2 linked regions of the Canis lupus familiaris genome follow. The protein of the gene in region 1 purifies or fractionates together with the protein of each later gene. This does not show direct contact. Links are inferred from orthologs where the notes say so. Each region holds a gene or a part of one and is shown on either strand. Other genes may lie near its edges.

Evidence for each region.
Region 2: the proteins of G6PD (region 1) and HARS1 fractionate together in Homo sapiens (co-fractionation; 3 studies listed by BioGRID). This does not show direct contact. The link is inferred for Canis lupus familiaris from reciprocal best matches to the Homo sapiens genes G6PD and HARS1.

The regions. Positions count from the first base shown.
Region 1 is NC_049260.1:123,409,348-123,413,157, reverse strand, and holds part of G6PD (glucose-6-phosphate 1-dehydrogenase), read left to right. Parts: intron 1-2,207; coding exon 2,208-2,245; intron 2,246-2,330; coding exon 2,331-2,439; intron 2,440-3,029; coding exon 3,030-3,247; intron 3,248-3,810. UniProt on the Homo sapiens protein: Catalyzes the rate-limiting step of the oxidative pentose-phosphate pathway, which represents a route for the dissimilation of carbohydrates besides glycolysis.
Region 2 is NC_049223.1:34,956,149-34,959,397, forward strand, and holds the end of HARS1 (histidine--tRNA ligase, cytoplasmic), read right to left. Parts: coding exon 3,093-3,249; intron 1,707-3,092; coding exon 1,590-1,706; intron 1,416-1,589; coding exon 1,265-1,415; intron 955-1,264; coding exon 878-954; 3' UTR 534-877; downstream 1-533. Other genes in the region: DND1 (dead end protein homolog 1), read right to left, coding at 1-131. UniProt on the Homo sapiens protein: Catalyzes the ATP-dependent ligation of histidine to the 3'-end of its cognate tRNA, via the formation of an aminoacyl-adenylate intermediate (His-AMP). Plays a role in axon guidance.

The sequences.
Region 1 (3,810 bases):
CACACATCCACGAAGTTGACACAATAGTGCGATGAGGGACGCCTGCGCGGCTCAGTCGGTTGAGCCTCCGACTCTTGGTTTCGGCTCAGGTCGTGATCTCAGGTCGTGGGATCGAGCCCCGCATCGGCTCCGTGCTGGTTGTGGAGCCTCTTGGGATTCTCTCGCTCCCTCTCCCTCTACCCCCTGCTCGCTCACTTGCTCACTCTTAAAAAAAAAAAAAAAGAAAAAGAAAGTACAATGAATGGCCGCTGTCCATTACCCAGTTCCCACGACATTCCGCCTCTTGTTTCGCCCACTCCCCACTCTCCGCTCAACTGTTGTTTTTGTTTTTCAGGGTTTTTTTTCTTGGACAAAACTGAAATGTGTTGAAATGCACGAATCCTAATGGTGCAGGTTAAACACCTTTATCACAACATAGGACCTTTTGGGGCACCCGGGTGGCATAGTTGATTAAACATCCGATTCTTGGTTTCAGTTCAGGTCACGATCTCAGGGTCCTGGGATCCAGCCCCGCGTCGGGCTCCACGTTCAGTGACGAGTCTGCTTGAGATTCCCTTTCTCCCTCTCCCTTTGCCCCTTCCACGTGCGCGGTCTCTCCGTGTCTCTCCTCTCTCTCTCAAATAAATGTATTCTTTTAAATTAAAAAAAAATCAACATAGGACTTTTCATCTCTGCAGAAAGTTCTTAGACGGCCACCCCAGTCAGTCCACCCCAGACAACCAGCGATGTCATCTTTACCAGAATAGATTCGTCTTGCGTATCCTAGAGCTTCACTTACAGCTTGTCCACCTACCTGGAGCCTTTGGCTTGTCTACCCCGCGGGGACACTGAGTTGAGGCTGCTGTGCACGTGCATGTGTAGACGTGTGCTCCGCATCCCCTCCAACACTAGGTGTGCTGCTTTCGTTTGCATTTTCCTGACAACTGAAGATCTTGAAAACTTTGTCGTGTGTTTGTTAGCCATTCGTTTCTCTTCCCCGCAAAGTATTTGATCAGGTTTTTTTCTTTTTTTTTTTTTATTTGATCAGTTTTTAAGTGGGTTTTTAAATTTTGCTGCAGGAGTAGGTTATGTTTCCAGGTTGCAGACGGACTCGGCCTCAGAACGGAGTTCCATCTTTCTGGCTTTGTGGTAGCCCCCCCACCCCCACCCTGGGAAAGCGATCTAGTGCCAGGGTCAGTGTTGCCCTTGCCTTGGTGGAAAGGTTTGTGGTCACAATCCAATTTCCTTCATGACCATTGCCCACTCGGGTCCCTGTCTCTGTTTGGGTAGGTGGCATTTTTTTAGAATTTTGCCCATTTCATTGAAGTTGTGTTTTCCTGCTTGTACTTGTGTTCTGTTGCACCCCTAATTCCTGGCACCTTTTAAAAAAGTAGTCTCGCCAGAGGGTTGTCGGTTTTTCTTCAGCTCTTTCAAACACCAGCTTTTGGATTTCTTGATATTTTCTTTTGGCTTATTTTCTATTTTATTAATTTATATTTTTTCATCATTTCCTGCCTTGTAACTTGCTTGGCTTTGGCTTTCTAATCCTACTCTTTTGTCTGAAATTTTTTTAAGAATTTTATTTATTTATTCACGAGAGACACAGAGAGGGAGGCAGAGACACAGGCAGAGGGAGAAGCAGGCTCCACGCAGGGAGCCGGACGTGGGACTCGGTCCCCAGGATCATGCCCTGGGCCGAAGGCAGATGGTCAACTACTGAGCCACCCAGGCGTCCCTCTGTGACTTCTTAAATCGGACACTAATAAGCTCATTGGCCCCGATCTAGAGGCAGCAGCCCAGGGCACACCGCATAGGTTTTGCTCTTTGCTATTTCTGTTGCCGTTCAGTTCTAGAGTCTTCCTTCAGATTCTCTTCAGCCCGTGGGCCTTCGGAGGTGGGCTTTGGGGCCTGGCTGTGCTTTCCTTGCTTACACTGTGACCAGAGACCGTGGTCCGTGTGATCCCAGGGCCTGCAGGTCGGGCAACAGGCCTCCTGGCATGAGGTCCGTTCACCTCGAGGTGGCTACCGCGGGACGCGGGCGCTGTCACCTGAGTCAGGGTGAAGTGCCAGCGCAGGCTCCCATTCGAGCTCCTCCTGCTGCTTGCACGGGCACGACAGGCACGCTTGCGGCCCAGTAGGGACCCTGGGCGAGTGCCCAGGTTGAAAGGGAGCAGACCGTCGAGGTCGTGCCCACGCTTCTCCTAAGCACCCCGTTCCCTCTGCTGCAGGGCGACCTGGCCAAGAAGAAGATCTACCCCACCATCTGGTAAGCAGCGCCCGCCCCGAGTCCCCGTGTCCCCGTGTCCCCAGCCCTCCCCATCCGGCCGGCCCGAGTCATGCTCTGCCCTCAGGTGGCTCTTCCGGGACGGCCTCCTGCCTGAGGACACCTACGTCGTGGGCTTCGCGCGCTCCCGCCTCACCGTGGCCGACATCCGGAAGCAGAGCGAGCCCTTCTTCAAAGTGAGCGGCTTCCGGGGGTGTCCGTGAGGGGCGCCCCTCCCCTGCCTTGGTGGAGGTGCTCCCGCCCTGGCGCTTCTCACCCCCGCCCCCCCCACGCACCCGGAGCACGCACGCTGCCCACAACCCACACAGCCGTGCGCCGCCCGCCCCTGCCACTTTGATGACCCAAGTGTCATGGAGCCCGGCGCAGGGACCCTGCCAGCTTGAGGCCCCGTTCCCCAGCGCTCCCAGGGTCCTCCCTGCCGTGCCCCCCACACCGTCACCCCTGCCAGGGCCAGGAGCTGAAACAGCATCATCCCACAAAAATCACAGAGCTGCCTCTTGCCCACACACCAGAGGCTGGTGGTGTGACTTCAGAGAGTCCCGCCGGGTCACACCTCCTGAAGTGCCACCCCTGTGTCAGGGCCCCAGGCCCCCCGGGGGGTGACTGCAGGCCGAGGGCCCAGCCTGGGAGTGCTGGAGCCCGTGTCCCGCGTGGTGCTGCCGCCGCCAACCCCGTGGGCCCGCACAGCTGATGGGAGGGGGCTGGGCTGTGGGGCGGGAGGGAGGGCCGGGCCGCGTCCCTGTGTCCACCTTTCTCACTGTCTCAGGCCACAGCAGACGAGAAGCCCAAGCTGGAGGAGTTCTTTGCCCGCAACTCCTACGTGGCCGGCCAGTATGACGACGTGGCCTCCTACGAGCGCCTGCACAGCCACGTGAACGCGCTCCACCAGGGGCCGCACACCAACCGCCTGTTTTACCTGGCGCTGCCCCCCACGGTCTACGAGGCGGTCACCAAGAACATCCGCGAGACCTGCATGAGCCACACGTAAGGCTTGTCCTCTGCCCTCCTGCCTCCTAGGCGGCCCTGGCCCCGCCTGTCGGGCCCCCGGGGCGAGCGTCTGCGGAGTCCGCAGCAGGTGGCGACCCGTCTGCTCTCTACCTGCGTTAGCCCTCCGAGGCGCTGATGGGGTCCCCGTGGGGGGACGCGCCCCCCCTCCCCGGCTCCCTCCTGGCGATCCTGCGGCCCCTGAGCCAGGAATGCCCCTTCCCCCAGCTGCTCCCGCGACGACCACGGGGGGGCGCTGTTGCTCCACGAACCTGGAACCTGCTGCCGGCGCTCTCGGTCCTTCGGGGGCGCTGGGTGCCCTGGCGGCCGCGAGGTGGCGGCGGCGCTCGCGGGATTCCGCCACCTCCAGCCCTGGCCGTGCTGGCCCTGCTGCTGCTTTTTTTTTATTTTCCTCTTTTTCTTTTTGTTTCTCTTTTTTTCTTTCTTTTTTTTCTTTTCTCTTTTTTCTTTTTTTCTTTTTTCTTTCTTTTCTTTTTTCTTTTTTCTTTCTTTTTTTCATTATTTTTTCTTTTTTTTTCTTTTTGTTTTTTTTATTGGAGTTC
Region 2 (3,249 bases), on another chromosome or scaffold:
TGGCGGATCTCCACGCCCGTCCCCACCGCGACTGGGCAACTGCAGCCCAAGGAGCCACTACCCCCTGCGCAGCTAGCGCTTGTTGAGCCCCCTTGCCAGCCACTTACCTCACACTCCCGCTTGGACTGCATGACTCTCACGGCTGCCCGTCGGCACCCCCTTTATAACCTCCTCCCCAAAGGCCTCTGGAAGCTTCCCTACCCCTCCTCCCCGCAAGCTCTCATTGGCTCTGAGCACGACCCCGCCCTCCAAGGGGGTGGGGGTACCCACTGCACGTGCGCCTCGGGAACCTGACTTTCAGGTGAAAGCTAGAAACCTAAACCGGTGAGTGTGCGACCAGCCCCAACTCCTAGGGCTTGGATGTGCGCTGGAGGCAAGAGCCTCAAGGGCACCCTTCACCCTGGGGAAGAGCCCGTGGGGTCTACTGTAGAGCCTCCCCGCCCCTTCCCCCCGTTTTCGCCGCTCAAGTAGTTGGAATAGGAGGCCCAAGCTCCCACAGAGAAGGCAGGGCTAGGCCATAGTGACACACAAGCTCCAGTGGTTGAGTCATTTTATTGGACCTTTAAGGGTTGGTTGTGGGGAGCATTCCCTCCATTTGGTCAGGGTTCTGCATAGGGGTCCTGCAGGGGAGACCAACTTAGGCTCCATCCCTGGAGCAGAGACTCAGCCCCCAGGATCTCTTATGGAAAAATGGTGTAATACCTGGCCATTTTTGCCCGTGATTACCAATAAAGTATTCATAATAAAAAATCTCTGTTCTGACTACTGTGGAGGTCTTCCTGCTGGAAAAGAAGTGTGCAAAGCTGTTCGTAGTACATATGCAGAGTCTTGTTTTAGCCACAAATAGTGCCAGTCCCACTTTCCCCTGATAGTTTGCTCAACTCAGCAGATGCAAAAGGGCTGGCTTGTTCTCCTTTTGATTTCTTCCACAAGGTCTTCTCTTGGGACGTCCACCTGGCCAGGATGGGTAAAGAAGATGGTATGAGCATCTCTGACTCCACTGCTCCCAAGTGCCCACTCCTTCCTCTAGTCACCAGGCTTGGCTCAGCTGGGAGCAGGAATGCAGGCAAAGGAGCCAGAGACACAAAGTATGGTTGCAGATGGGACTCCTATCCTACTATGACAATAGTAACAGGTTAATAACCCTTTAGTCTTTTCCGAGTGGGTATTAACATGAGTTCCAGACTTTTGCTTGGGTCTTGAATGAGCACAGCCTGCCCAAATGGCATACATTCCCCTTCCCTCAGCCTCTCTAGCCACCTACCTACCTCTTCCCTGCTGGCCACTGATCGGAGCTTGATGACCCCATCCTTGAGCTCCTGCTCACCAATGATGGCCACCAGTGGGATGCCTGCCTCCTCACAGTATTGCAACTGGTTCAGCAACTTAGGGTTCTTCTTATAGAGCAGCTCTGCCTGCAGGGGACCAGGGCAGAAGATGAAGGCTGGCTTCTACTGTTCTCAGGGACAACTTCCTTGGGGCCCACGTGCTCTTAGCTCTCCTCCACGAAGCTGCTATGGATGAGCTTTTATTTAGGCTGTGCCCAGCACTCCCAAGTTCACTGCCACCCTGGAACTGGCCTCCTCTACCTTGATCCCAGCATTCCAGAGCTCTGAGACAAGCTTTAGTCTCTCCTCCAGCAGCTTTTTCTGTGCAGATGCCACAAGCACTTGTGTCTCTGTGGTCCGTACTTTCTCCTCCGTAGCCTGGGGAAGGGTCAAATAAGAGTCCGAGCTGGGCTACCTTCAAGCAGCCAAGCGAGCAGGCTGTTGTCAGGATTCTGACCTATCAACTACGCATAAGGTAGCTCCTAGAAGGTATAAGAAACGAACTGCCTGGCTTGTACGTATAGCTTACCAGAAAAGATAACAAAGGGCAAGAGCCAAGGTAGTTTATGTACATAACTTCAAACTTGTCTCCTTCTAGTACCTTAAGGGGCCATGAGAATATTCACATAGAAATGATACTGTGAACTCACTCGGTCCCCATATACTATCAGCCCAGTCAAGGGACTGTGCCTCTTATACTTCAGTCATAGGGCCCAACCCAGGGTATGGGTGGATAGGGGTAAAGAGAGAATGCTGCTGCTGCTGCCCATTGTCTTTTTCTTGTAAACTATTTTCATAGTTCTTAACAACATACAATGCCTACTGGAACACTGACCTCAATTGGGAAACATGGTTTCCACTCCAGAGAAAAGGATGGGAGCACTGGGAAGATTACTGCCAGAGCATTCCCCAGGGGATGAAATGCATCCAGCCAGTTAAAAGCAGCAGCAAAGGAGTGCTTGAGGTCATGAGGGCCTTCCCTCTAGAGGCTAGAGAGTCAAGATAGCCATCTGAAGAATCCCAAGGCCTAAAACACATGCTTACCACTTAGAGGTGATATCAGAGGAGTTAGGAGCAAGACTTTGGAGTTAGACTGCCTGGATTTGCATTCTGACCCTGGTACTTAAAAGTTTCACAGCTGGGGCACCTAGGTGGCTCAGCCAGGTCATGATCCCAGGGTCCTGGGATCAAGCCCTGCATCGGGCTCCCTACTTGTCAGGGAGCCTGCTTCTCCCTCTTTTTCTGCCTCTCCCCCTACTTGTGCTCTGTCTCTCAAAATAATAAACAAACAAACAAATAAATAAAATATCAAAAAAAGGTTTCACCACCTTGGGCAAATTATGACTTATAGTGCTTCAGTTCCCTTGGCTACAAAATGCAGATAATAAAAGTAGCTACTCTCAGAGGGCTGTGCAAGAATTTTAGTAGATAATGCATGAAAAGCACTAAGCACAGTGCCCAGCACACAGTAATAAAATATTAAGCATTCTGTATTCTGAAGATTGATGTCTTTGGATATACCACCCCATGACTTCCGACAGTGCTGAGGGAAGTAGGGACCCAGAGGAAAGGATTCTGGGGAGAATGAAGGATCCAAGATCCATCAAGTTGGCCTACAATGGAGTAGAAGTCCATTAAACACAGCAACCATCTTTTCTCCATTTCTTTCCAAAGATGCTCCTTGCCCAAAACAGTACCATTCGCCCCCTTGAAGAACAAAGAAAACAGCTCATATGCCAGTAGCTGCCTGCCCCCAGGACTTACCTCTAGCCTCTGCTCCACAATGGAAAAGATCCGCTCCACCCCAATGCTGAGCCCCACGCATGGCACCTTGCGTCCTTTAGGGTCGAACATGCCCACCAGCCCATCATAGCGTCCTCCAGCAGCCACACTGCCCACACCCAGGGGCTCTTCCCCTGCC